Linked DNA regions of Macaca fascicularis. The protein of the gene in region 1 binds, or shares a complex with, the protein of each later gene. Links are inferred from orthologs where the notes say so. Each region holds a gene or a part of one and is shown in the gene's direction. Other genes may lie near its edges.

Evidence for each region.
Region 2: PIGH (region 1) and PIGY share a complex: the UniProt entries of both Homo sapiens proteins name them as parts of the glycosylphosphatidylinositol-N-acetylglucosaminyltransferase (GPI-GnT) complex. The link is inferred for Macaca fascicularis from reciprocal best matches to the Homo sapiens genes PIGH and PIGY.

The regions. Positions count from the first base shown.
Region 1 is NC_088381.1:135,500,688-135,505,544, reverse strand, and holds the start of PIGH (phosphatidylinositol N-acetylglucosaminyltransferase subunit H), read left to right. Parts: upstream 1-1,436; 5' UTR 1,437-1,506; coding exon 1,507-1,686; intron 1,687-4,857. UniProt on the Homo sapiens protein: Part of the glycosylphosphatidylinositol-N-acetylglucosaminyltransferase (GPI-GnT) complex that catalyzes the transfer of N-acetylglucosamine from UDP-N-acetylglucosamine to phosphatidylinositol and participates in the first step of GPI biosynthesis.
Region 2 is NC_088379.1:94,070,089-94,073,712, reverse strand, and holds PIGY (phosphatidylinositol N-acetylglucosaminyltransferase subunit Y), read left to right. Parts: upstream 1-1,753; 5' UTR 1,754-1,848; coding exon 1,849-2,064; 3' UTR 2,065-2,653; downstream 2,654-3,624. Other genes in the region: PYURF (protein preY, mitochondrial), read left to right, coding at 1-140, 1,612-1,753. UniProt on the Homo sapiens protein: Part of the glycosylphosphatidylinositol-N-acetylglucosaminyltransferase (GPI-GnT) complex that catalyzes the transfer of N-acetylglucosamine from UDP-N-acetylglucosamine to phosphatidylinositol and participates in the first step of GPI biosynthesis.

The DNA.
Region 1 (4,857 bases):
TGACCCAAGTGATCTGCCCTCCTCAGCCTCCCAAAGTGTGAGATTACAGTCATGAGCCACTACACGCAGCCCATCACCAGTGTTTTGACAGTCCACACAGCCAATCCTGGGTCACATCAGAAGTAAAAATGGAACCCATACACCACTATTATGCATGAGTTCAGTAATTTTATTATCAATTCCATCTCCATCTCCCGCTCCTACTTAATTCCCAGCCAGGTCTTGCCTGTCTACCACGGTCCAAGCAGTCATTTGGGAGACAGAACTCTCAGGCAGTGAAATCCAAACTCCGTACAAGACCCTCTTGGATCTGACCCCTACCTACCTCCCCCATTTCCAACTGTTTTCCTCACATATCAACCTTTCTGGCCTTTTGATTATTTCATTAAGCCAAGTTTGTTCCAATTTCGAGGGGTTTGTCTTTCCTGGTCTTCCTTTCTGGCAAATTCCTCCTCCAGAGCTCCTTCAGTCCTGTCTGGTTCCTCACCCTTTGTAACTCCAGTGTCCTCTTAGAGACTTCCCATGACTGCCCTATGTAAAGTCCTCAGTCAATCCCTGCCAGTCAGCATAGTATTGCCAACAATATTCTCAAGTTATTTCCATATTGTCTCCTACTAGAAAGGAAGCTACTTGAGGGCAGAGACTGTCATCAACATCGTTCACTGCTGCATCCTCAGCACCTCAAACTACCCGGCACAGGAAAAAAGTGGAATGAATACCCGTGGACTCTTCTTGCGTCTTTCCGGCTTAGAGAAATCACCTTGCCAAGCAAAAGCGTGATTAAAACTGTGGGTTTGGGCTGGGTGCGGTAGCTCACGCCTGTAATCTCAGTACTTTGGGAGGCCGAGGCGGGCGGATCACCTGGGGTCAGGAGTTCGAGACCAACCTGGCCAATATGGTGAAACCCCGTCTCTACTAAAAACCCAAAAATCAGCCGGGCATGGTGGCGCACGCCTGTAATCCCAGCTACTCAGAAGGCTGAGGCAGGATAATCGCTTGAACCCGGGGGACGGAGGTTGCAGTGAGCCGAGTTCGCGCCATTCCATCTCAAAACAAAAACAAAAAACAAACTGTGGATTTGCTTGTTTTTAGACAGGGTCTTGCTCTGCCGCACAGATTAGAGAGCAGTGGCATGATCTCGGCTCACTGCAACCTCGACCTCCCAGGCTCAAGCGATCCTCCCACCTTGGCCTCTCAAAGTGCTGGACTACAGGCGGGAGCCAACGCGCCCGGTCTAAAAACGGTTTTAATCCGTCCGCTGAACTATTGCCCCCGACGGGCTTTGTTCGAAGACAATCACAGAAGCCGGGTCAAGGCCGGCCCGGACGAATGCACAGTCATCAACCCCACACAGGGTTCTCGGCGCGCAACTGAGGCTGCGCAGGCTTAGGGCGGGGCATGGTGACGCGGCTGCCGGAAGCGGGTCTGGAGCAGGCGAGACGCCTAGAGCGGGCGATCGCTGTGGAGCGCCGCGCGGTGCGGTGCTGGCGGCCGAGTCGGGGCATCATGGAGGATGAGCGGAGCTTTTCGGATATCTGCGGCGGCCGCCTGGCCCTGCAGCGCCGCTACTACTCCCCGTCCTGCCGGGAATTCTGCCTCAGCTGCCCTCGGCTCTCGCTGCGTTCGCTCACCGCTGTCACCTGCACGGTGTGGCTGGCGGCCTACGGACTCTTCACCCTCTGCGAGGTAAGGGCAAGTCGGCCCCTCCCCGCGGTCGAAGGAGGGGGTTCGGCTTTGGGAGGGTCTTTGGGATCTTTGGTCGAGCCCGGACCTCTGGTCGGCCCCTCCTACAATGATAGAACAGAAGGGCGGGAACTCACGGGTTCTGGGGACGACAGGGGACGACATTCCGCTGCTGGACAGCTCTTTAAATGACGTTTAGTGAAGTGTGTGCTCCTGGACAGTACCTTCCCTCTCCGTGGCTGTGCTCTGCTCGGTGGGTTCACTCAGCACACATCTAGTTCTTGCACGACGGTATAAAACTTTAACTTGCATGTGTTCTATGTAGTATAGGCGCGCAGTAATTTAATTCCAGGAGTTCAGGGAACTCTTAAGTGAGTCTTCCTTGTCCATCACTTCTGCTCCTCAAAGTAGTACTGCTAACAATACTTTATGTAGACTTCCACAAACTGTCTTTGCCTCCACAAGTGTGTGTGTTTATCCGTGTGTATAGATAGTGTTAGAGTTCTTCCTAATCTCTGTTTTTCAAGGCAGTTTTTTAACCCTCCGTCCTCCCAAACCCTTCCCCAATTTCAAGTACTTTCTAAAGGATTATGAAATTTTGGACGTGTGTGATATCTGTGCTCAATTTCCAGATTCATTCCTGTTTTCTTTGAGCCTCAATTTTCTATATCTCTAATAATAGAATTCATGCCTGCCATACCAGCTTCATGATATCGTGAGGGTTAAATGCAGTAACTTTGTGACAGCTCTCAAATAAAAAGAATTATCCCAGTTTCCCTTTTCAGGATGAGTTCTAGTTTCATATGTAGTGCCTGAATTGAATGTATTATCCCAGAAGTGATCTTATCAGAGCTAAGTACAGCAGGGCTATTTATTTCTGTAACTTGGATATTGTTTCCATTACTGCATCCATTAGCTTTTTTGCTGTCAAAGCATGTTTCAGAGCATGGTAATTTAGCATAGAAATATGCAGAATTAAGACTGCCCTAATTGTAGGAAACTGTATCTAACTGTATCTAAACTGTATGTTTGTTCAGGCGAAGGGCTGTACCTCACGCCTGTAATCCCAGCACTTTGGGATGCTGAGGCGGGCGGATCACTTGAGGTCAGGAGTTCGATACCAGCCTGGCCAACATGGTGAAACCACGTCTTTACGAAAAATACAAAAATTAGCTGGGCGTGGTGGCTCACGCTTGTAGTGCCAGCTACTCGGGAGGCTGAGGCGGGAGAATTGCTTGAATCTGGTAGGCGGAGGTAGCAGTGAGCTGAGATCACGCCACTGCACTCCACCTGGGCAACAGAGGGAGACTCTGTCTCAAAAAAAAAAAAAAAAAGAAAGAAAAAAGTTTATTCATAAGTCTGTTAAAATGATTAAGTTGATAGCCCCCCTAGAATTTAATTTACAGTATAGTTGAATTTTAGTACTAGCCTGAGTTTTTTTTTTTTGAGACAGAGTCTCGCTTTGTTGCCCAGGCTGGAGTGCAGTGGCGCGATTTTGGCTCACTGCAAGCTCCACCTCCTGGGTTCACACCATTCTCCTGCCTCAGTCTCCTGAATAGCTGGGACTACAGACACCCGCCACCACACCCGGCTAATTTTTTTTGTATTTTTAGTAGAGACGGGGTTTCACTGTGTTAGCCAGGGTTTCACTGTGTTAGCCAGGATGGTCTCGATCTCCTGACCTTGTGATCCTCCCACCTCGGCCTCCCAAAGTGCTGGGATTACAGGCGTGAGCCACCGCGCCCAGCCTAGCCTGAGTTCTTATAGCCTATGTGTGTGGTCATGTGAGGAGGAGGAAATAGATATTTATTAAATGCCCACTGAGTGCCAGATGCTTTTCTGAATTCCTTACTTTAGCCCTAGAACGAAGAAAACCAAAGCTCACAAAGAAGGGTGAGTTATCCAAAGTCTCAAAGCAGTAAATGGCAGATCTGGGCTTCCAACCCAGGGCTTTCTGACTCTGAGACCCTTTCTTTTCCTTTATACCATTGTATAGTTGATCTTAGGCAAAATTTAAAAACAAAAATCTGTTTTTGTGCCAGGTCCCTTCTGTACTTATCTCTCTCATCCTGGTGTACTCTGCTTACCCCTATCAAGTACCCCAGGACTCAGTGACCACATCTTCCTTTAAACTCTACTGCAATACTTTCTAAGGGCTCTGTGTGCCAAAATTTCTTACCTTTCCTATTCAGAACTGCTTATGAGAGTAATGAATATCTGGAATGAGAAGAAATCTGATTGAAGGAATTCATTCAAACATACAGCTTAACCCCAACCCAAATGAATATTGAATTGTTTCAATTCTACACAGTAAAATGAAGTTGAAAAAAATGCAGATAGTAGGGCATGGATTGCTCTTATTGGAAAGCTGACGTGATCAAATCCTTAAGGATTTACTGTTCTTCATCCCTACATTCCTTCTTGTTTTTAAGTTCACAGTTCTATTAAAGTTCCAGGTTGTTCCCTTGTTTATTCCAACCTGGAATGTTCTTCCCCCTTCCCTTTCAACTAATTATATTGGTCACTAACCACCACCTCCCCTGCACCAATTAAATCCTAGTTCCTTGGATGTGATGGGATATATTCTTGTGTGCTTTAATGTCTTTTTCTTTCTTTTTTTTTTTTTTTTTTTAACTTTTCCTTTGGCACTTATAGTCAGTATCAGAGTGTCCTCCAGAATATTTTCTGTGTATTAATCTTGACTTTAATAAATCTATACGGGTCAGGGCTGAATTGTATTCCTCTCCATTCTTCATAATGCTTATTCAGTGCAATTAATTAACTCAAAATTAGATCTTTCTGGATCATCAGAGACCCAGTACTGAATCCTCCATTCATCAATCAACAAATAATTATCTAGCACAGAGATAAGCAAACTTTTTCTTTCTTTCCTTTTTTTGAGACAGTTTCTCACTCTGTTGCTCAAGCTGGAGTGTAGTGGTACGAATACCCCTCACTGCAGCCTCAGTTTCCTGTACTCAAGCGATCCTCTTATCTCAGCCTCCTGAGTAGCTAGGACTACAGACATGTGCCACCACACCTGGCTAATTTTTGTATTTTTTGTAGAGACAGGGTCTCACTAGGTTGCCCAGGGTGGTCTTGAACTCCTGGCCTCAAGCGATTCCCCCAGCGTTGGCCTCCCAAAGTGTTGGGATTATAGGCGTGAGCCACAAT
Region 2 (3,624 bases), on another chromosome or scaffold:
GCGGTCGCCTGTAGGTGTCTGCACGCGTCGGGCTCGCGGCCTTTGGCCGACCGGAGCAACAAGACGGAGGAGCCGCCCCGCGCCTTGGATCCGGCGCTGCTGGAGTTCCTGGTGTGCCCGCTCTCCAAGAAGCCGCTCAGGTGACTCGCTGGTCTTGGCCCTTCCTTCGCAGCCTCCCGGTGGGCGGAAAGGGAGTGGTGGACCGCGGCCTGTCTCAGCCACTGGGGACTTGTAGGTCGGTGAATACTCTCCGCTGCCATATTCTGGACTCTGTCCCCGCCGGTGCATGCACCTCCCGCTGCGGCGGGCAGAACGGGGGAGACCGGAGGCCAGGGGAGCCGCGTCCCACATCTCCCAGAGCACATAGCCAGCCTGCCGGAATGGCTCGAAGCGTTTTAGGCTTCGCGACCGGCTGCTCTTTGCAATCACCCGGGGACCGTTTTAAAAATGCCGATTCCCCTGCAGCCCCCAAGACGGGCAGACTTGGAATGCTCGGGGGTTGGGACCTGAACATTTGTATTTTCTTTTTTTCCTTTTAAGAGACAGGGTGCCCCCCTACGTTGCCCAGACTGGCCTAGAACTCCCACCTCAGCCTCCTCAGGAGTCGGGAGACAGGCGCCGCCGCCACGCCCAGCTTATTTGTGTTCTTAAATGGTCCCTAAATGATTTCTAACGTACCACCAGGTTCTTGAATTACTGCGATTCAGGACAAGTCCAAAGCCATCCGGTTTTTAAGCCAAGATAATGAAAAGTATTTTACCCTCCAGATTCTTGTGAAAGTGTCTTGTACAACTGGTGCCTGACAATCTTAAGCAATTCAGCTGTGTATGCTGCCTGGTGGCTCTTAGTTGTGGCCTAGCAGATTTCTTAGAAGCCTCTTTAACCTAGTTTTTGGGAAGACAGCTCTACAGTTTCCAAGCTCCCAAAAATGGAATATTGACAACACTAACGCTAGTATTACAAATCGCATAAACGAAACACCAAAACGTTGTCAGTGGTTATCTTTGAGTGGTAGATTGCTAGCAATTTTTCATATTTCTTTTTTCCCATAATAAACATATTCAGTTTTCTCAAACCTTGAAATTATTTGATTTGCGTTTATAACTAGCTCACGGCAGACTTACTGCTTTCCAAAGTTTCCTCATTTCTGCCCTCTCACCTTTTCCAGTGATTTCCTTCTAATGGATTAGTTAAGTTTTTCTGCTTAGCATTTATTCTAAAACGAAGAAGTTGATTTTTCTCTAGTGTTTATTCCAGTAGTAAATTAACAGAGATGATTTGGGGGTTGACCAAAGTAATGAAGGAATATTTGGATAAGAGAGGGGGATCTTTTCTGACTAGTATGAAAAAAAAATTAAAGAATAACTTGTGAATAAGGTGAAAAAGAGAATATGAGAGAAACTGACTAAAATGGGAATAATTATAGATTCTAAGAGAATTTTTCTAAGATAAAAGGTTGAATTGGCTATCGTTGCTTTTAATGAAAGAAGACTATTCTGGGATTAACTCCATACCAAGAATTGGATAAATGATGGTATTTGTTGAAAATCAGGCTCTTCAATTATTTTATTTTTCCACAACTCATTTTGTTCTTTTTTTTTTCCACCCCAGATATGAAGCATCAACAAATGAATTGATTAATGAAGAGTTGGGAATAGCTTATCCAATCATTGATGGGATTCCTAATATGATACCACAGGCAGCTAGGATGACGCATCAAAGTAAGAAGCAGGAAGAAGTGGAGCAGCGCTAGTTCATAATTAAAAAAACATAAAACGCAACAGCCAACTTTTCTTAGTACCATATACCTTTTAAAACACAGTGGCAGGTAATAAGTGGAAGAGAAGAATGTTTCTGTCTCTTCCTACATTGACTGTTCTTATTCCACTGGTTTCTTTAACAGGACTGTTCTACTCAGCCTCTGTGGAAGAAAACTTCCCACAGGGCTGCACTAGCACAGCCAGCCTTTGCTTTTACAGCCTGCTCTTGCCTATTACCATACCAGTGTATGTATTCTTCCACCTTTGGACTTGGATGGGTATTAAACTCTTCAGGCATAATTGATGCAACTAGAGTCAATATGCTGTATACATTAATGGTAGTTCTTGGGCATCTATCTCTGAAAGCTCAAATGGATGGAATTGAGTTTGTGGGAAAGAGGCTTTGCTTTGCGCATATCAGGCTTAGGACTGTGGGAGGCTTAAGTTGCAGGTGCTTCTTTTATTGTGCTCTTGTTCTGCCCTTGTTTTTTGAAGGCTCTGACTTATAACTGCTGTATCAGAAGAAACATTTTGACAGTGTCTTGTTGGAGATAAACATCCCTAATTGACATGTGATGACTATTTCTTATTCCATTCATCTAAAAGTCATTGAAATTTTGTTTTGCTTGTTTGTTTAGCTTCAAGGTCTTTGGTAAAGTCACATGTTAGGGATGACTGAAATAATTCCAAAGGAGTGATGTTGGAATAGTCCCTGTAAGGGAGAGAAATGCATTTGAATGAATGTGATACAAAACCATATAATGAAATAGAAATTTCATGTACTTACAAAAATTGAGTTTGTAAAATTACCTTCATTTCTTTGACATTAAATGCTTATATTAGCAATAAAGATGTTGACACTTTCCCATAAAAAATAAACCAGTTTGTAATCATTTGTTTTGTTTATTTGTTTGGTCACAGAAGTGTTATTGATACTAAGGGAAGTTGTAAAACTGCACTAAATATAGCTGTGTTGAGAGAGGTACTTAATACCTAAAATAGAATCATTTCCTAGGAAAGTAGGGGGTGGGAAGACTTGCAAGTAGTGGATTGTGCCCTGTTGAGCTTAGAGCCATATTTTGAGCCACATTTCAGTTTATTTTCCCAGGACGCTGAATAACACCACTAAGGGCATGAGCATCGACACATTAATAGCCTCTGATTTTCCAGAACTTTCAGTAAGACTAATCGAGCATAGTATAATACTTCTGAAGTATAGTGTGTTTCAGTAGTTAACCCAGAGAAACCAAAGAACCGAATACAAACTTTATTTTTATTGGAATCTTATGTTAACAGAAACCTGAAACAGTGATTCTTCTGCATCAAAAAATTAAGACATGTTAGATGTGTTTTCTTTTGAATTAATTCAGGGTATACTGTAGTATAAATGACATGTTAAAATTACCCTATGGCAACATACAGATAACCTGGAAGACTACAAGTTCCCAGGTATTTCTTGAAGAGTTGTTCTTTTCAGTTAACCCTAAATCTCACACTTAACCTTAAGTCAGGGAAAAGGAAACAATTCTGAAAAGTACGTACTCTATCTCAAGAAGTCAATTGCAATTTCAGCTTTTGGGGAAGTTGAGTGTTTGACCATTTTAGGAAACACTGACACGCATGCCCTTGGGGAGTTTAGTATTTAACACCATCCTCTCACTAATATAATTTATTTAGCTATCAGTTGTTATAGTATAAACATACACCAGGTACAATTATAAACATAGTGCTGTGTCTTCAATCTTATAACCCTAAGGAGTAGGTAATATTAGCACCATTTTACAGATAAGGAAACAAGCACAGAGAGATTAAGTGACTTACCCAAGGTAACATAGCTAATAATTGGATTGAAATGTAAACCATC